4 linked regions of the Arabidopsis thaliana genome follow. The protein of the gene in region 1 interacts with the protein of each later gene in a pairwise test. Each region holds a gene or a part of one and is shown in the gene's direction. Other genes may lie near its edges. The genes, in order: AT4G36590, PHE1, AGL90 and AT3G50650.

Region 1 (5,348 bases):
CCGTACTCACCAGCAGCATCAGAAGCCTTCTCCTTTGCACTCTCATAAGCTTCTTTTGTGTTCTCCGACATAGAATCCTTAGCTGCACCATACCTCTCCCCAACCTTATGCATTGCCTCGTCGAATCTTCCGGCTGCTTCGCTCCCCGATTCGTATGCATCATTTGCTTTGTCTTTAGCATAGTCCACCGCTCGCCCTGCGGTTTCTCTAACATCGTGAGCTTTATCCGATGCAATGTCTTTAGCATTCTTAGATCCTTCTTTGAATCTTTCGTATGTTCCATACGCACTATCTTTAGCTTCACCACTCGTATCCGTAGCCATCTTAATCACATCCTCTGCTTTGTTATAGGCAGCGTCTTTTGCGTGAGCTGCCTTGTCATAGGCAAAGTCTTTGGCTTGACCAGCCTTCTCAGATGCTGATCCTGCTTTGTCGTAGGCCATGTCCTTGGCTTGACCCGCCTTGTCGTAGGCTGATCCCACCTTGTCGTAGGCCATGTCTTTAGCTTGACCCGCCTTGTCGTAGGCCATGTCCTTGGCTTGACCGGCCTTTTCGTAGGCTGATCCTGCTTTGTCGTAAGCCATGTACTTGGCTTGACCGGTCTTATCGTAGGCCATGTCTTTTGCATCACCAGCCTTATCATAAGCATAATGTTTTGCGTTATGAGCACTATCGTAAGCAGATCCGGCTTTGTCTGATGCAAAGTCCTTGGCGTAACCCGCATTGTCATAGGCGGATCCAGCCTTGTCATAAGCGTAGTTCTTCGCAGATTCAGCCGCTTCTTCTGCCTCAGCTTTCTTGCCTCCCAATCCTCTGTTACAATATTGGATCAATCATCTATATATTATCATTCTTAAATCACTTCACAGTTTGAAATGCAAATGATGCGTAACATGCGTTTATATATATACATTTCAAATTTCTCTTAAAACAAAACTCAGATCTACGTTTACAATTTGAAATCAAACACTATGAGAAGATGGTTCCATTAGAAGAAACCAACACAGATCCAAAATAGAAGTATGATCATGCCTAAACAAAAGTTAACGCTTACGTGGAAATTTTGTCGGAAACCCAACCAGCCCAAGAGGCGGTTTTGTCCTTTGTGTCATGAGCCGCATCGGACGCCATTTTCTTAGCGGTCTCGGCTGCGTTTTTAGCATGCTCTGCTTCGTTTCTAACCATATCCTCTGCTGTCTCCGTTCCCCATCCATAGCATTGCTTCTGCCACGTCAGCGTCACCACCGTCGTAAGCATCATAATCATCATCAACGTTCTTCTCTCCATTATTCCTATTCTTTAAAATTCCGATTTTTTGTTTTGTTTCTTGGTTCCAATCTTCATGGAGGAAGTTTCTAGTTATAGATGAGCGAGAGAGGGAGAGATCACATTCCTTTCTTTCACTAGATAAGCGGTTATTGTAAGACACGTGGTTATTCGATGATTACGTGGTTATTCGATGTTTACGTGGCAATTAAAGAGGCGGTTATGCTGGAAGTGCTTGCGACGTGTCCACTTGTGGTTCGATTTTGTAGGGTTAGTGTCTCCCGACCCGAGGTCACGTGGCCGGTCGCGTAGAGGAAGTTTCAATACTTGGAAAGATTAAAATAACCGGTTTAGAAAACCGAAGCCATGCGCTTAGCAGGGTTACAAACCGGATAATCCAGTAAAAAGGTAAATCAGAAAGTGTTTATTTTTTTACCTTTCTTAGTTAATCCAATGTTTTTTTTTTGTCATCTCATTTTTAAAGAAAACTGTTTTTTTTTTGGTTCAACCAAGAAAATTGATTTAAACCATAAAAAAACAAAACTAAGCCCAACAAGAAACCCAGCATGAGCCCAACCGAAAGTGAGAGAGGTGAAGAAGACACCAATTTTAAACGTTTTGACGATACAATTACAAAGTTTTCTAATAAGATAAGTCAGATAGTGTAAACTTTCACAAAAAATCAATTATATAAAATAATTTAAAATATTTATAAGAATCAATAATGATTATTGTAATATTCAAACATTTTATTTAAGAACAAAGATAGTTAAAAATCAACAATATTTGAGTATAAATCATTTTATTTATATCTTAGAAATGTTAATTTCAATAAACATAACTCACTATCATTATGAAAAATATATCTAGTAAATGGTATATATCTAAATTAAAAAAATTTGGGCCCATAACTCAAAATCTTTTGAATTTCATTTAATAATTTTTTTTATTATGTAAAGTACAACTGTATATTTTATCTAGTAATGATTGTGATATCTCAAAAATAGATAAATTTTGTTTTACTGTATAAATATTACTTGCATTAGCTGTATACAAACAAATAATTTAATGGATAATTTTGTTCAAGATTTTTCCCAAAAATATAGATTAAGTATTTTAACAAACAGCTCATAAAATTTTAATGTGCCTCTCATGGGCAGTTGGTGCATACATTTGTCAAACTGTTATGCATTTACCAACTAATATAATGATATTGCATTTGAAATATCATGAATTTTATATCCTTAAGAAATTTTAGAGATAATTATGTCCTTAAGAAATTTCAGAGATAATTATGAAATATTCCTCAAATTGGAAAATTAATTTTTTGGCAAAATTAAGGGTTGAAGGATTATGTTTACTTATAATGGACCTATAATGTATTACATTTCCATATGTAATACACCTGTATAAATATAAAGAACATATTTTATTTCTTAGCATCAAATTTGTCATTTGTTTATTCAAATTTTTGAGAAAATGGTGAGAAGTACCAAAGGTCGTCAGAAAATAGAGATGAAAAAAATGGAAAACGAAAGCAACCTTCAGGTTACTTTCTCAAAAAGAAGATTCGGTCTTTTCAAAAAAGCTAGTGAACTTTGCACATTAAGTGGTGCAGAGATTCTGTTGATTGTGTTCTCTCCTGGTGGGAAAGTGTTTTCTTTTGGCCATCCAAGTGTTCAAGAACTCATTCATCGCTTTTCGAATCCTAACCATAATTCTGCCATTGTCCATCATCAGAACAACAATCTCCAACTTGTTGAAACCCGTCCGGATAGAAATATCCAATATCTCAACAATATACTCACTGAGGTAAACAATTTTGTTTTAAAGAAAAATGCAAGAGAATTATATATATATATATATATATATATATATATATATATATATATATATATATATATATATATGCCAATTCTATGTCTATAACTTAATTTGTTAAGGGAAAAAGAGACCATCAATAGTTAGATTGTTTTCAAATCGTATCCATAGTTAGATTGTTAAAGATATCAAATGGTATCCATAGTTAGATTGTTTTCTTCAAAATGTTCAAATATATAAACCATATCTCGTTTTTTTCACAACATGATGAAATGAATCTCATTGCAGGTGCTGGCAAACCAGGAAAAGGAGAAACAGAAGAGAATGGTTTTGGACCTATTGAAAGAATCCAGAGAACAAGTAGGAAACTGGTATGAAAAAGATGTGAAAGATCTCGACATGAATGAAACCAACCAGCTGATATCTGCTCTTCAAGATGTGAAAAAGAAACTGGTAAGAGAAATGTCTCAATATTCTCAAGTAAATGTTTCGCAGAATTACTTTGGTCAAAGTTCTGGCGTGATTGGTGGTGGTAATGTTGGCATTGATCTTTTTGATCAAAGAAGAAATGCATTCAACTATAATCCAAACATGGTGTTTCCCAATCATACACCACCAATGTTTGGATACAACAATGATGGAGTTCTCGTTCCGATATCCAACATGAACTACATGTCAAGTTACAACTTCAACCAGAGCTAGAGTCTGAAGCTAGAAGAACATCCTAATCAATATTTGCGTTATTTTGGCTATGGTTACTGTTAGGATTGTTCTTGTATTGTGAGACTTAAGTTTGTTTTTTCTTTTAATTTGTTTCAGTTGGTTGGTTTTTCATTTTATTCGTCGTTTGTTTTCCTTTGTTTTTGGATATTTTTGTATCCAGAATAAATTTATTTATCCTTTAATTTTACTTATATTTTTATTTTTATTTTGCTATTTAAGCTTAATGTTATATACTGAAATCAAACCAGATTTACAAATGAACAAAACAATTTTTTAAGAAACCCTCATCAGACAGAAATGAATCTAATGTTAACAACGAGAAGTGTTCATATGTAAGACTTCAAGATTCTGTAAAACTCTTTAACATGTTTAATCTAAAAATTCAATTTTAGGACTCATTTTAAAACAATCAGATTCTTCTTTCTGATCAAGTAAATGACATGTATAATCAAAATCCAAATGACTAAGAGAAGAGTAATGGCTGAAAACCTTCAGAAGCAAGCATATGCCTTCGGTGATGTTCTTCAACCTTATATTCAACAATCTCTTTAAAAAGCTGTGAATCCAAAACACAATCCGCTCGTCCGTACACTCCAGCTTGTACTCCAGCCACAAGCTTTGCAATCTCACGGCCAGAGAATCCTTCTGTCTTCTTTGCAGCCTCAGAAATCACTTTATCAGTTAAGTCTTCTTCAACGGTAATCTTCTGTGACAGCTTCTTAAACAAATGACTCCATTTCGGTTTTGTGTCTTCGTTGTTATCACCCATCTTTAGATATTTGTTGAGATAGAGATTGAGAAGCTTGAAACGTTCTTCTTCCCCTGGAAGTGGGAACTCAATGACTTCATCAATCCTGTCTGTAACCGCACTATCGAGATCTCCACGTCTGTTTGTAGCCAAGACAAGAACAATGTCCCGAGATTGATCACCAGTTCGGAAGAGCAAAGCGTTCAGAGCACTACGTTGAGCCTCACTCATGTAAGTGCTGTTACGCCTGCAAAGAAAAAGGAATCATCTTTCTTGAAACCAAGAGAAAAAGTTGCAATCTTTTTGTCATATTACTGTCAAAAACCTAAAACGCTAAAACATCCACTAATCCTTGTAAAGAAGAGAAGGAGATCTTACTCGCATAGAAAAGCATCGGCTTCATCAATGAAAAGAAGTAAGCCTTTGTTCGATTTCTTAGCCCAATCAAATATCTGATGGATTTTAGTAACAGCTTGTGATCCCAAGGGAGCAACATCACCTCCTGTCATCATAGCATAATCCAGACCCTGCAACAAATAATTGTATCTAAGAACTCATGAAGACGGTACTAACAAAGCTACTACCATAGTTTTGATAATAACTCACCGATTTCCGAGCTATTTCCCTTGCCACCATAGTTTTACCGGTACCAGGAGGTCCATAAAACATCATGTTGCGGAATGGTGCTTGATGGGATTTGGTGTTTGCTGTAGCTCTAGCGAGACGCTCGATTCGTTTCTTCAAAGAAGTATGGAGAATTACATTATCAAGCGGCTTTTTGCCTTCTGCT
Region 2 (5,081 bases), on another chromosome or scaffold:
TGTTTTTTAAAATCCGATAAAACTTTAAACCTAAGATATAAACTTTAGAAAAAGACTTATGAAATATAAACCCAAACTAACCCATAACACCACCTAAAATATTCTGATTAGAAAAAGACTTATGGGTGGGGACATCAATGTAAACTTTCATAATTTGCAGAAATCTTACAAAATTTACTCGAGGCATTTATTACAAAATATGGTTCCGCCTCTGCGCATACACTATACATAAAATTGGAAAAAAAAGTTTTAACGGATAATATGATTTAATGTCGTTACACATCCCAATGCAACGGATCGAAATAGAATGCATGTGTTTATTCATTTCATTTCGTATATGATATCGTAAGGGAGTTCATATACTCACTAACAAGACAAAACATTTCTTGACCAAAAGAAAAAAAAGATTTCTTGAATAAACATTTTGTTACTATAATGGCGATAGTCATAGGTTTACTTGAAATCTTCACAGCATTTGTTTTCTTCATTTTCTTCCAATGTTTATTACTCCACAAGAAAACTCCCAAGCCTTTGCTCACGAACTGGCCGGCCCTTGGGATGCTTCCGGGTCTACTCCTCCAAGTGCCTCGTATCTACGACTGGATCACCGAGGTTCTTGAGGCGACAGATATGACGTTTTGTTTCAAAGGTCCATGTCTTAGCGGAATGGACATCTTGCTTACTGTTGATCCGGTGAATATCCACTACATTCTAAGCTCAAATTTTGCTAACTACCCCAAAGGAATGGAGTTCAAGAAGATCTTCGAAGTCGTGGGTGATTCAATTTTCAACGTTGACTCGGGTTTGTGGGAGGATATGAGGAACTCGTCTCATGCCATTTTTAGTAATCAAGATTTCCAAATGTTCTGGGTGAGTACAAGTGTAAGAAAATTAAGGCAAGGGCTTGTTCCTATTCTTGAAAACGCAGCTGATAAAAATATCCTTGTCGACTTGCAAGATTTGTTCCAGAGATTCTTGTTTGATACATCTTTGATTTTGATGACCGGGTATGATCCAAAATGTTTATCCGTTGAAATGCCTAAGGTTGAGTTCGGTGACGCGGTCGATGGTGTTTCTGACGGGGTTTTCTATAGACATGTTAAGCCGGTTTTCTTGTGGAGGCTCCAATATTTGATTGGTGTAGGAGTAGAGAAAAGATTGAAAAGAGGTCTAGCGGTATTCGATCAACTACTCGAGAAGATCATAACGGCTAAACGAGAGGAGATCAATAGTCATGGGACTCATCATCCCTCAAGAGGAGAGGCCATAGACGTGTTGACATACTACATGACTATGGACACGACCAAATATAAGTACTTGGAACCAAGTGATGATAGATTCATCAAAGACACTATTTTGGGTTTCTTGATAGCGGCAAGAGATACAACAAGTTCAGCACTCACTTGGTTCTTCTGGCTTATGTCCAAGAACCCTGAGGCAATAAACAAGATCCGACAAGAGGTTAACAAGAAGATGCCGAGGTTTGATCCCGCAGATTTAGAAAAGCTCGTGTATCTACACGGTGCCGTGTGTGAGACGCTAAGGTTATACCCACCAGTTCCATTTAACCACAAGTCACCGGCAAAGCCAGACGTACTTCCAAGTGGGCATAGAGTAGATGAGAAATGGAAGATTGTCATATCTATGTATGCATTAGGGAGGATGAAATCTGTTTGGGGAGATGACGCAGAAGATTTCAGACCAGAGAGATGGATTTCAGACAGTGGAAGGTTAAAACATGAACCTTCATATAAGTTCTTGGCGTTTAACGCCGGTCCAAGAGCTTGCTTGGGGAAAAAGTTAACGTTCTTACAGATGAAGACAGTGGCTGCGGAAATCATACGAAACTATGACATCAAGGTCGTTGAAGGGCACAAAACCGAACCAGTTCCTTCTGTTCTTTTTCGTATGCAACATGGTCTCAAAGTTAATATCACTAGGATCTAGTGATAGTTTTTGTATTTTTTTTGCTGTTAAAGATTTCAATAAAACATGCATGTTTACTCATGCTTAGACTTATTTTGCAAACACGTCTTTAATTTGTATCAGTCATTTGCCTTATAAGAGTCTCTATTTCATAATAACATCACGGTTTTACAATAGCATGTGCTCACATTTTGTGGTCTTTAGAATCTGATGTTTAGTTACTAATATTTTTTTTGGCAGCTATGGTTTGTATTATTGGACCCTTCCCCACAGTTATAACACCCAAAATCGATAACACACATAATAGCATGTGTCTTAACGAAACAAAAAAAATAAAATAACATTACTTTCACTGTTTAGCCATAACATTACTTTCTATCCAACTGATATTACATGTATTTTAAATTATTTATTAATTATGTTTATATAAACTATTAACATATAGAAAAAATTTAGAGATTGAAGAAATATCTTAAATTACCTTTGATGTAATTTGTTTTCCTTTCAATGGACTTCCTAAATAAAGTATAAATCTCATTAGATATGTGATACAACTGTTTTCCTATATATCTTGTTTTTATATATGCCCCCCAAAAGGTAAAATATCTATATGGGCTGTCTCTAAAGATAAATGATTATCACTTTACCATCAATCACATGCCTACACGTAAGGGTGAAACTAATACAAATCCTGAAAAATTAGTAAAATAAAAAATCAATTAATCATATCCAGCAAAGCAATAAAAAATCTATTGACTCGAAAATTGACTATATAAACCATCCTCCTCATGCTAACAAGACAAAGCAAAATACACAAAAGAAAAAGATAAGAGATATGAGGGGGAAGATGAAGTTATCGTTCATAGAAAATGATTCAGTGAGGAAAACAACATTCACCAAAAGGAAGAAAGGGATGCTGAAGAAATTCAACGAGCTAGTAACTCTATGTGGTGTTGACGCATGTGCGGTCATCCGTAGCCCGTACAACTCGATCCAGGAGCCTTGGCCATCAAGGGAAGGCGTTGAAGAAGTGATGTCGAAGTTTATGGAGTTTTCGGTGTTGGACCGGACCAAGAAGATGGTGGATCAAGAGACGTTTTTACGTCAAAGGATCGCCAAAGAAACAGAACGTCTCCAGAAGCTACGTGATGAGAACCGTAATTCTCAGATTCGAGATTTAATGTTTGGTTGTCTCAAAGGAGAGGTGGACGTGTCTCATCTTCATGGAAGAGATCTTCTTGATTTGAATGTATTTCTTAACAAGTATCTCAATGGTGTTATTCGTAGGGTTGAGATCCTTAAGGAGAACGGTGAGTCTTCTTCATCTGTACCTCCTCCTATTGGTGTAGCTCCTACTGTTGTGGATGCATCTGTCCCAATCGGTTTTGATGGTCGTATGATTCAAGATCAAAACCAAAATCAGCAAGAGCCGGTTCAATTCCAATACCAGGCTCTTTATGATTTTTATGATCAGATTCCAAAGAAACTTCATGATTTTAACATGAAAATGAATATAGATCCAAATCAGAGTATGAATTTGGATCTTAATGATGGAGAGGACGAGGGCATTCCTTGCATGGACAACAACAACTACCACCCCGAAATCGATTGTCTCGCTACCGTCACCACTGCCCCCACTGATGTTTGTGCTCCTAACATCATCAATGATCTCTAGTCGAAGGGATGTATTTCGAGTGAAGTGGTTGATCATCTGCATCTTTTGATTTTTCCATTTCAGAAAATAAAATTTATGTGATGTTTTTTTTTATTATTGTACTACAGTTAAAGGTTTTGCCTTTAAGTTCATTTCCGTTGATGTATTTGCCTGAAAAGGTTTAGTTCAATTTGAATAATTTTAATCATTACAAAATAAAGAGTTTTCAGTATCTTTAGAAGAAACAAATCTTTAGATATGATGTCATTAAAAACCCTATAATATCTAAAATAGCTTTGATTAAGTCAACTTTCTTTGTTTTGCCTATATATATGCTATGGCTATGTCATGTTTTCGTCTTACTTATATTTGAACTAAAATGATTATGAATGTTATTGCCATATTTTTGTTGGATTCAAATGTTGATCACAAAAAAGAAAGGATTTCAATTTTGTGTACCATGCTATTTCAAGATGTTTCTAGCAAATTCTCAACTACGTAGTTTAGGTGACCACTTGTGAGACCTTTGCATACTTTGGCACACATAATTTTCTAATGCATACCTCATCTATGAGTCGAGAAGACGTCCCATGGGAATAAAAAAATCGAAGACAAAAGTACATATATAGTGCTGACCATTGTGGATCTCCTGATGTACATACTCAGCCGTAATTGGTTTTAACTTCAGTAGCTTCTGCCACGTTTTGGAACCTAGAGTAGAATCCTTACCATCCTAACAGATAATATATTGTCGGAACCGCCCATAATAAACCCCCACGAAGTTAGTAGTTTCCAAATTAAGCTTAAGCTAAACAACCGTGACACATGAATACGTTGGAAATGAAGCCCTCATTCCTTTTTAGGAATACACGCTTCTTTCAACATATTGGCACGCTTGTGGAAAAAAACATAGAATAGTAGAAAACCTAGCAAGATACGGCCATAAAAGAAATTAAGGAATCTTAAAAATCTCTTCTTTCACATTGTTTCCACACTTCCCCTGCTTTGTTGTTTCAGAATTGAGACACGTTGTACAAGATTTTTGGATCAAAAGACTCGCAAATATAGTTAAGTTTATTTATGACACCTAAATTCTAGTCCAACAAGAATTTGCGTGATCGCAAATTTTGATAAATTTGTGTGCTTGTATTATCTATTTTATCCAACGGAAAAAGATTCTTGATAAATAATATCTATCGTTTTCGAAAAACTTTGTTTTTCATCACTGAGTTTTTAACATCGAATGCATTAATTTCATGGAATGCTTTTTTATCCCAACATGATAGAATTGTAATTTATTACTTTGTCAAAGTTTTGGAACGTTAGACTTTGCCATTCATCCCAAGCAAGTGGGAGGGTGATATCTCGTTGGTGATCAAAAGGATCTTTTAAGGATTTCCAAAGTTCTTTAAGATCTCGCATGTGTGCATAGTCATATAATACACTTTTATCGAATTGTCTTTTAAGGAAGATTCGATTTTACTTTTTCTTGGGCCATCGA
Region 3 (4,898 bases), on another chromosome or scaffold:
ACAAGCTAAGATATTATATTATTGAAATTGTATGTTTTTATCTTGATAACTAATAAAAGCAGTCTAAAATTCTTAAATGTGGGTTCCAAAGCTATAATTGGATCATATTTTCTTACCAATTCTCTCATGTCTACATAAAGCTATTTATTTTAGGGATATAAATAAGATAAAAAAATATGGTAATGCCAGCTAAATTACTCTTCATTATTAGCTGGTAAAATTTATTTCTAAAAGTGCAATAAAAAATATATAATATCTGGTCAATGCCCCAAAAGGTATAATATCCACATGATTTTATAAATTATAATTTTATATCCAATCATGTTTATACATGTGTACCTGCATTAATATCCATTTGAATGTAAAAAATAATAAAAAAAGCAAAAATCATATTACTGTATTAAACTCTTGATTTTACCCAAATTATGCATATATTTTCTAAATGTAAATAATTTTCATAAATAATTTTTTTATATGTCATTATTAATAAATAAATAAATAAATACATGTAGTCATATTAATGTATTAAACTCTTGATTTTATCCTTATATGTAGTCCATTTTTAAAAATACTCATTCTCTTGAGCAAAAATACCAAATTACTCTCATCTAATGAGAACAAGTAATTTATAAACTGAAATTTTCCCGCTAAAAGTTTTTTTTCCCGCCAAAGTTTTTTCTCTGTAACAAATTTTTTTCCAGCTAAAAACATGCATTTAAAAATCCTTATAAAGTGTTTTAAAAGCTTTGTAAATTTGTTAAAAACCCTTGTGAATCATTTTAAAACCTATTAAAATCTTTATAAAGTTTTTAAATATATATGTAAATACTTAAAAACCCATTTTAAAACCTTTGTTTTACATTTTAAAACCTTTTACAATGATTTTAAAAGATTTACAAGAATTTTTAAAGGATTTAAAAGGATTTTAAAAACATTTGTAAATCTTTTAAAAACCCTTGTAAATCCTTTAAAACCCTTGTAAACAATTTAAAAATCTTTTAAAACCCCTTAATAAATTTTGAACCATTTTAAAACTCTTATGAACCTCTTACAAAATATTTTAAAAACCCTTGTAAGTCCTTTAAAACCCTTGTAAACCATTAAAAATCTTTTCAATTTCTTGTAAACCCTTTAATAATTTTTAAACCATTTTAAAATTCTTTAAAAATATTTTAAAATTCTTTTAAAAATCTTTTTTAATCTTTTAAAAACCCTTGTAAATCTTTTAAAACCTTTTTAAAATGTTTTAAAATCACTTGTAAATCTTTTAAAACCCTTTAAAAATATTTTAAAATCTTTTGTAAATCTTTTAAAAACCTTTTACACTTTATAAAAATCTCTTAAAATCCCTAATCTTTTAAAACTCTTTTACACCTTTTTTAAAAATCTTTTAAAATCCCTTGTAAATCTTTTAAAACCCTTTAAAATCTCATTTCAAAAATCTCTTAAAATCCTTTATAATTTTTTTTTGCGGAAAAAATGTTTTTAAGAAACCTTTTTGGCAGAAAAGTTTTTTTTAAAATTTTTTGGCCGGAAACTTTTGGCGGAAAATTTATTTTCAGAATATTTTTGGCGGGAAAAAATTAATATTTCATTTTTTACTTAAAACATTTTCTAAATAGGGGTAAAATGGTCATTAAAAATTAAGAGAAAGTATAAATGAAAATAACAAATAAGAAAATGCATTATTGAAAAGGATAGTGTTGAAAGGGCATTCATAACAATTATTCAAAGTTTTTGGCGTTTATGTGAGATGTTCTTTGCATATTTTCAAATTGTTTGCCCATTCTAAAAATTTATTTGTATGATTCAAAGTACATCTTTAAATTACTGTAGATAACAAACTTTCTGAAATTTACTTTAGATAACAAACTTTAGAGTAATTTCTAGCTTACCACAATTCTATATACATTGACAATATATTACTGTATTTTAAAAGTACAATCACTTAAAACTATTACAAAACTTCACATTCTAAGAACAAAGTAAGCTAGAAATTATTCTTAGTAAAAAAAAACAATGAGAGTAAGAGAAATTAATTCTTAGTATAAACAAAACTTAGAAATAAAAATATTATATTACATGCCCCCTCATATTACATGGATAGATTTTTTTCTTTTTTTTGTCATCAGATATTATTTAGGATCAGACGAGCCAAACTTTAGATAAGAAAAAATATTTTTATATAGATAATAATGAATTACCTGGTCAATTAATTGATAAGAGATTTCCTGGATGTTATTTAGAATTAATGAGTCCACCAAAGTGATAAGAATCCTAGTGACTATAAAATCATCTTTCTTTGCTATATAAACATTCTTTGAGTAAACAAATTAAACAAACCACACAAAACAAAACAAAAAAACATATTGATGGGGATGAAGAAGGTAAAGCTATCTTTGATAGCTAATGAAAGATCAAGGAAAACATCCTTCATGAAGAGGAAAAACGGGATATTCAAGAAACTCCACGAGTTGTCAACTCTATGTGGTGTCCAAGCTTGTGCTCTCATCTATAGTCCATTCATACCGGTTCCAGAGTCATGGCCGTCAAGGGAAGGTGCTAAAAAGGTAGCTTCAAAGTTTCTGGAGATGCCGCGGACAGCCCGAACCAGGAAGATGATGGATCAAGAAACCCATCTTATGGAGAGGATTACCAAAGCAAAAGAGCAACTAAAGAATTTGGCTGCTGAGAACCGAGAATTACAGGTTAGACGATTTATGTTTGATTGTGTTGAAGGCAAAATGTCCCAGTATCGTTATGATGCAAAAGACCTTCAAGATTTGCTATCTTGTATGAATCTATATCTCGATCAGCTTAACGGAAGGATCGAGTCCATTAAAGAAAACGGTGAGTCGTTGTTGTCTTCCGTCTCTCCTTTTCCTACTAGAATTGGTGTTGACGAAATTGGTGATGAGTCGTTTTCCGACTCTCCTATTCATTCTACAACTAGGGTTGTAGATACTCCTAATGCTACCAATCCTCATGTTCTTGCGGGCGATATGACTCCTTTTCTTGATGCGGACGCAAATGCGGTAACTGCTCCCAGTCGATTTTCTGATCATATTCAATATGAAAATATGAATATGAGTCAAAATCTGCATGAACCGTTTCAACACCTTGTTCCTACTAACGTTTGTGATTTTTATCAAAATCAGAATATGAATCAGGTTCAATACCAGGCTCCTAATAATCTGTTTAATCAGATTCAACGAGAATTCTACAACATAAATTTGAATCTGAATTTGAATCTGAATTCAAATCAGTATCTGAATCAACAACAATCATTCATGAATCCGATGGTGGAACAACATATGAATCATGTTGGAGGGCGTGAAAGCATTCCTTTCGTGGACAGAAACTACTACAACTACAATCAACTACCAGCCGTTGATCTTGCTTCCACCAGTTACATGCCTTCAACCACCGATGTTTATGATCCTTACATCAACAACAATCTCTAATCACAAAAGACGGAGATTTTCTAGTCTAAGTGTTCAGTTGTTTGAATTTGTGTTTTCTTCATTTCGAAAGACAAAAACTAATGTTGTTTATTAATAATGGTTGTAATGGTTAAAGGGTCTCTTTTTAACTTAATTATGTATTTTGATTATTAAGTAATGTTTTGCCCAAAAAAAAAAGATTATTGTGGGAAACTTTAACTGTGGAATTTATTTCGAAAATTTAATGTGTGATTGGTACAATATTTAGACGAAAGTTTTCATTTGAATTCTTTTAGGACCCATACGTAGAGAATAATTGTTTTCCCCAGCAATTTGAAGTAAGAAATATTATTCTTTGAATCAATTATGGATTTACCATTTTTTGGGATGGTATCTGTGGATTTTGCCCTTTTCTGAATAGTTTGTAGATTTTGCCTTTTTCACACTACGAAAATATGATTTAACATGTGTTTTATTCGTTATGTTTGGGTTTAGTCGGTTGTGCTTGTTCTTAGGATTTAATATTTTATATAAACTACGTATTTTTACCAAAAAAATCGGAAATACATACTTTTTTTAATGTTAGAAAATGGCATATCCATAAGATTTTAGTAAAAATGACAATTTCAAAAGATTTCTATGAAAAAATGGCAAAATCAACAATAATCTTTTTTTCTTTTGGAAAAAAATAATTTGATAACAAAATAAAATAAAAAAGAACTACTCTTATTCAATGTTAAAAAAATTGTTAGGCGCTAGTTAGGATTTTGATAGAAGCCTTGAGCCTATAACGATCAGTGCCTAGGTCGATTTTTTTTTAACATTGTTCCCATTCTTTTGGGCTCAAAAAAATGAGGTAGAAAATTTTTTCTTCCAAATTTTGCACCAGTTAGACCCTAAGTCATTTTTAAAAGAAAAAAAGTGTGGGTAGTTTTTAGTCTTTCAATTATAATAAAAATGTATAACTATATAGATAATATTAGAGATCTGTGTAAATCACCTAAATACTGTTTTAGGAAAAATAAAACTTTTGATAAGAAAAAAACTTGCAAAAAATACATCTACACACCATCACAACATTGATTACAGTATATATGTGTATGTGATAATATTCAGCATAAAATCTAACTGTTTTTTTAATGTCAAAACAAAATTATCATTAGTCTTTTATATAGTCTGCTCCTGCATATTGTGAAGATTTAGTTTTAAGGGTTTTCATTACATATTTGTTGGCTTGTGCAAATATTAATCATCTGGTGTTATTTTAAATTATGTTGAAAAATCGAGGGTGATAATTTGATAAAATTTTGTTTGTATTTTGTAATAAAACTGTATATATAAAGCAATCGCTTCTTCATCAAATCTACCATGAATGATTCTTTTTTTTTTCCTCCTCTTTGTTGATTGATTCTTTCATATTTGTTTTTAGGTTTACTTTGTTTCTATCTCAGCAAA
Region 4 (6,202 bases), on another chromosome or scaffold:
CTACAGTTTTGGTGTTACCTATCAGATTTTAACCGTTAAAGTCTATACTGTTAAAATTTTTAAAGTCAAAATTTTTATAATCAAAGTTTTTACCGTCAAAGTTCCTACAGCGAAAGTCTCTACAACCAAAATTAACAGTCGTTACCAATCGGCCCTAAAGATAGATAATGATATCTTACCGCTGAAATCTTCTCCCTCGTAATACATGGTTTTGACGGATTGATCGAGACAATTAGAGAGTGATAAAAAAAAATCTGTGGTTGAGTTAGGGTTTAAATACGTAATCAGGTGACACGTTAAATTATCTAATTGTACTTTACCAAAAATTATATAATTGTAATTAATTAAAATGCCAAGAAAAAAGAAAAAAAAAAACAGTGCAGATAGACATATGGTTGATTAACACACTGTATTATCCATTTATTTACAGTGAAATAAAATATGATTAAATAAAACAAAAACAGAAGCCTCCAAATATTTGGAGGCTGATTACGCCAACTAGTCCCCGTGTTCCTCGATTAGGTCGGCCCATCATATTGTTGGATAATTACGGCCCATAAAGTTTTTACTTGATCTGAAATCATCCAAATGAGAAGATTTAGATAATTCATAAATTATATTGATGTTCAATTGTTCATCATACTGCTCTTTTGTTAACAACAATATGGCTTTGAATTTGATTGATTGTCTCTAATTTTGCAGATATTGGAAAGACGAAATGGTTCGATATTTTGAAGTATAGGTTTATTCACATGAACACCCTCGGTGATGAAATCGAGACTTACCAACCAAAAGCCCTTGTTTATTGATTTTCGTGGTTTGGCCCGCAAGTATTTTTTTTCTTTTCTGGTTAGCCGAATAATATTCAGAAAACGAGGAAAAGCATTGAGATTTTTTTGTTTTAACTAACTAAAATTTGGATGAGAAAGTGAGTTAGCTGGTCAATAAAAGGTACAAAAGTTTAGTGTTTGGACAGGCCACTTGTCATTTGAAAAGTCTCTTTCTGTTTTGTATGAGATAATCGTCACCAAATATATATTTTTCTTACTGACTTAATAATTTCTGTTTAACTGATTCAAATAGTAAATATATTTTGGTTAATTAAAGGTTCAAACGAAAATAAGTGTAAAAAGCTAAGGAGGAGACAAAAATAGGTAAATTTTAGTTGGTAAGAGTTGAAACTAAAAATTAGTATTTAAAAAAAAAAGCAAAGAATGTGACAAAAATGGTAAATATATAGAGAGACTTTCTTGGGGATGACTCAATGCCACTCTTTGTTCATACATAAGAAACCCCACCGATGACTTGGATAGAAAGAAAAGACAAATCAAACCCTTTCATTCTTACTCATGTCCTTTTCATACACCACTCATTCTCTCTCTCTCTCTATCTATTTTCTCCAAGTCCACTTGCAGATAGGTGCAATGGTTAAACACTAAAGTGGGATTGCCATTTTCAAAGACAAGTCCTTTTCAAAAATATCATCTTCTTCATTCTCCTTGTTGAAATCATTACCAATTTAGAACAGTCCATGGCACTTTGTAGTAAAAAATGTCAAAAGTGAAAATCAAAAGTAGACTTGGGCCAGGGACCATATACCATGTTTAGTAATGTAATTTAGATATTTAAGTTATAAGTAGTGGAGAAGTAGGCCTTTTGACGCGGATACAACGATGAAATGAAAAGAGTGATGTCTCAAAGAGTCAAGTGTCGTTCCCATGTGCTTTTTGTTCGCTATTGCTCTTTTCTATTTCATTCGCTTTAGGTTTTTAGAAATTGCAAAGTCACAAAGAGCTTCCACACTCAAACCTCAAATAAGCAAATTCTCGAACTATGCGTCGTGTATGAATGATAATTCATAAAACTTGGTTTGTTATTGAAAGACTTTTAAATTCTATAATCCTCTTTGGACTCTTTTCTTGTTTCTTCTTTGCTTGTGTTTTTTTTTTGGTATTTTTGTGTAATTTTTAGCTTTTGGCTAATGGCTACTACATTTTCTTCGTCAAAGTTCGTCCACCAACAACAGATACTAGTAGAGCCCGCCACAAATCGCTTTTGCTCCATTGTATATGGGCCTACTTACGGACCCACAAGCCGTCCTCCACAACACTAACGTTGAGATAAAAAAGACATGCGTATACAAATAAAACATGTCTATTGTTTAATTTTTGCTTGCTCAAGTCATATTCAAGATGTTAGCTTAACTTGTCGAAAGGTTTTTTTACAAAAGTAACTGAAACTAAACCAATGAAGTCACTGAAATTTGTTAACCAAAGTCCAATTTAACGACCCTTTTAGTTGATAAGAAACAGCTTTGAAAAACCTTGACCTTTGCGGCTTGAAAGCAGAAGATAATAACCTAATTCTTTTTACTTTTCTTACATCAATCTTTTTACCTTTATAATACTGTTAGTTAAAATGAAAAAAGACAGAAAAGTTGCAGGCGACATGCAGGTGACAAGTAGCAGAAGACAGTTGTCGACGTGTCACATTCACCATTTCAGCCAAAGCCATTGATCTGATTCTAGACGGTGGAGATGAGGTCACACTCTTCGATACGTAACTGCCGATACATGACGTCATCGTGTCTGTGGGTCCCATAAGTGAGATATCGTTTTACTCTCTCTTTTTTTTCATAACGTCAACTCTTTTTTTTACCCATATTAACAGAGTGGTAATAATTATTTAACAAAAAAAAACCTATGTATTTTTTATTTTTTGGTCAAAAGGTTTCTGAATAAATTTGTAAGATTATACGAAACTACAAATTCATGAGATATAGAAATTATTCAATTGATATTTTGATAAATTACATTTCTATTATTAAATTCTTGAAAATAATTAAATACAAAACTGAGTTTTTTAGTAAACTATGTTAGTTAGTTTCTTCATTTTTTGTTGTTGTTGTTGGTTTTATAGTTTCTTCATTTCTTGCAGTTAATAACGTAATTTTGTACTTTTAAACTAAAGTGGTAATTGATTAAAAATACAGTACTCGAAAATGATAAATCGGATGACAAAAAAAAAGAAAATGATAAATCAAAATGAAAATACTCACTTTCTTACTTTTTTCTTCCTACTAAAATCTCTCCGGTTTCATTCATATCCCTCTCTCTCTCTGGGCCTTACTCAATCACCACCAAATAACAGACAAAAAAACGCCTTCATCGCCGGCGAAAGTGAGTCGGAGAATGGCGTATATGTGCACCGACAGCGGAAACTTAATGGCTATAGCACAACAACTCATCAAACAGAAGCAGCAACAACAATCACAACATCAACAACAAGAAGAACAAGAACAAGAACCCAACCCCTGGCCCAATCCATCCTTCGGGTTTACTCTTCCCGGTTCGGGTTTCTCCGACCCGTTTCAAGTAACCAACGACCCAGGTTTTCACTTTCCACACCTGGAGCATCATCAAAACGCAGCCGTCGCTTCCGAGGAGTTTGACTCCGACGAGTGGATGGAGAGTTTGATCAACGGTGGAGATGCGTCACAAACCAATCCAGACTTCCCAATCTACGGCCATGATCCATTCGTCTCATTCCCGAGTCGACTCAGTGCTCCTTCATATCTCAACCGAGTCAACAAAGATGACTCAGCGAGTCAACAACTCCCTCCGCCACCAGCTTCCACCGCTATATGGTCTCCATCTCCGCCATCACCACAACATCCTCCTCCTCCCCCGCCGCAGCCGGATTTTGATCTAAACCAGCCGATTTTTAAAGCTATCCACGATTATGCACGTAAACCGGAAACTAAACCGGACACACTAATTCGGATCAAAGAATCCGTGTCCGAATCAGGCGACCCGATACAACGAGTCGGGTATTACTTCGCAGAAGCTCTGTCTCATAAAGAAACAGAGTCTCCGTCGTCATCGTCGTCGTCATCCCTAGAAGATTTCATTCTCTCATACAAAACCTTAAACGACGCATGTCCATATTCAAAGTTCGCTCATTTAACAGCGAATCAAGCAATTCTCGAAGCTACGAATCAATCAAACAACATTCACATAGTCGATTTCGGGATTTTTCAAGGTATTCAATGGTCTGCTCTGTTACAAGCTTTAGCGACCCGTTCTTCTGGTAAACCCACCCGGATCCGGATTTCGGGTATACCCGCTCCGTCTCTAGGAGACTCACCGGGACCGTCTCTGATCGCTACGGGAAACCGTCTCCGTGATTTCGCGGCGATTTTGGATCTCAATTTCGAGTTTTATCCGGTTCTGACTCCGATTCAATTACTAAACGGGTCAAGTTTTCGGGTTGACCCGGATGAGGTTTTGGTTGTGAATTTTATGCTTGAGCTTTATAAGCTTCTAGATGAAACAGCGACGACTGTTGGTACGGCGCTCCGGTTAGCTAGATCGTTAAACCCGAGGATTGTGACGCTTGGAGAATACGAAGTCAGTTTAAACCGGGTTGAATTTGCTAACCGGGTTAAGAACTCTCTCCGGTTTTATTCCGCGGTTTTTGAATCGCTTGAACCGAATTTGGATCGAGATTCGAAAGAAAGGCTGAGAGTGGAGAGAGTGTTGTTCGGTAGGAGGATTATGGATTTGGTCCGATCAGATGATGATAATAATAAACCGGGAACCCGGTTTGGGTTAATGGAGGAGAAAGAACAATGGAGAGTGTTGATGGAGAAAGCTGGATTTGAGCCGGTTAAACCGAGTAATTACGCGGTTAGCCAAGCGAAGCTGCTACTATGGAACTACAATTATAGTACATTGTATTCACTTGTTGAATCGGAGCCAGGTTTCATCTCCTTGGCTTGGAACAATGTGCCTCTCCTCACCGTTTCCTCTTGGCGTTGACTACTTGGTCCGATAAGTTAATCTAGTATTTTGAGTTAGCTTTTAGAATTGAATTGTTTGGGGTTAGATTTGGATGTTTAATTAGTCTCTAGCCTATTCTCTTACTCTTTTTTATCTAGTGCTTGGAGTGATGATGGTTTGTCGTTTATGTTCATTTGTAATATATATTGTATGTAACATTTGACTAGATTTCTTTGGTATAAACGAAAGAAGCTAAACCAAATTCATGTGAATGAAAAAAACACTAGAATTAACCCCTGAAATTGAGGAAAGGAGGTGATGAAGTTTGATTTTGAAATGAGAGTATTATGGTCCCATAAAAGAGACTGAAATTTGAATTGCACTAAGATCTTTCACTAACACACCATTTCTTCTCCCTTTTCATCATTTTGTCTCCACTTTTTCTTGCCTAATATAGTTTTGTTTACTTCATGAAAATTATATACCAATGTTTTCTGTACCATTCACTGAATAATAAAATAGGAGCATAATTATTTGTCAGTGAAGTAAAAGCCAAAAATACGAAGGCGCACTGACAAGTATTTCAATCTTTCTGTGTCAGTCTTGTTTCTCTTTGTTCGAACTTCAAACGTGCCACTATGACGTCAACTCTCGAATTTCTTCTTCAGTGGTCTTTTGGTCCCCATTTCCTATATCTCTCAGCCACTACTCTGACTCTGTCTGTGAGTCTGATAGTAAATTTTACTTCCCTAACGAAGATAAAAGCCCACTCTGTTTATGCTTGGCCCAAAATAAACAGGCCTAATCTCTGTCCCATTCCTTTATTTATATTAGCCACAAACAAAAACAATACATAGAAGTATTTTGCAAATAACCCAACCAAGTCTTGACTCTTCACAGCTAATTGCTTACAATTTGCCAGCTTGATTTTTCATTTTTTAGAAAATCATGGTTAGGAATCCAACATCTATAAGTGTGATGATACCTGAAATAAAAATTAAAAAAAAAATGATCTAATCCACTCATTTTAAGTGCTTTTGAATTAGAAATCGAAAATGATATAGACTATAAAGTAATATATAGATCAATCCATTTATAACTAATTGATTTTGAGTTAGAAACTTCTAAACTTCACATACATCATAAAATTAAAAGTAAATCGTTTCATTTACAAATAACTAAAGTATTGGTGGAAACTAACACCTTTGGATATCGAGCAGACTATGTATGATATGAAATTCAACTTAGACGATGAAATTGCAAGCCATGAAATAATGTTTACCGGTTTCTCTAAGAAAAAAGGTTCAAGCAATGATGCGTTGATATTTTCCTATAATGAGATGAAACTGTTTTTTTGACCAATCATTCATGAGCGGAGTCGCATCACGACGACGTGTGGGATAAACAATGTTCAATGGAAC

The links.
Region 2: the proteins of AT4G36590 (region 1) and PHE1 interact in a two-hybrid assay, tested with the Arabidopsis thaliana proteins (one large-scale study listed by BioGRID).
Region 3: the proteins of AT4G36590 (region 1) and AGL90 interact in a two-hybrid assay, tested with the Arabidopsis thaliana proteins (one large-scale study listed by BioGRID).
Region 4: the proteins of AT4G36590 (region 1) and AT3G50650 interact in a two-hybrid assay, tested with the Arabidopsis thaliana proteins (one large-scale study listed by BioGRID).

Annotation. Positions count from the first base shown.
Region 1 is NC_003075.7:17,259,587-17,264,934, reverse strand, and holds AT4G36590 (MADS-box transcription factor family protein), read left to right. Parts: upstream 1-2,707; 5' UTR 2,708-2,745; coding exon 2,746-3,078; intron 3,079-3,375; coding exon 3,376-3,789; 3' UTR 3,790-3,998; downstream 3,999-5,348. Other genes in the region: AT4G36600 (Late embryogenesis abundant (LEA) protein), read right to left, coding at 1-813, 1,055-1,287; AT4G36580 (AAA-type ATPase family protein), read right to left, coding at 4,274-4,805, 4,937-5,085, 5,165-5,348.
Region 2 is NC_003070.9:24,265,001-24,270,081, reverse strand, and holds PHE1 (MADS-box transcription factor family protein), read left to right. Parts: upstream 1-2,745; 5' UTR 2,746-2,761; coding exon 2,762-3,601; 3' UTR 3,602-3,825; downstream 3,826-5,081. Other genes in the region: CYP96A3 (cytochrome P450, family 96, subfamily A, polypeptide 3), read left to right, coding at 436-1,947. UniProt on the Arabidopsis thaliana protein: Probable transcription factor involved in the development of gametophytes and seeds.
Region 3 is NC_003076.8:9,990,251-9,995,148, reverse strand, and holds AGL90 (AGAMOUS-like 90), read left to right. Parts: upstream 1-2,378; coding exon 2,379-3,035; intron 3,036-3,158; coding exon 3,159-3,464; downstream 3,465-4,898. UniProt on the Arabidopsis thaliana protein: Probable transcription factor.
Region 4 is NC_003074.8:18,805,090-18,811,291, reverse strand, and holds AT3G50650 (GRAS family transcription factor), read left to right. Parts: upstream 1-3,048; 5' UTR 3,049-3,191; coding exon 3,192-4,820; 3' UTR 4,821-5,153; downstream 5,154-6,202. UniProt on the Arabidopsis thaliana protein: Probable transcription factor involved in plant development. Involved in environmental abiotic stress resistance. May increase the expression of stress-responsive genes. Binds DNA in vitro.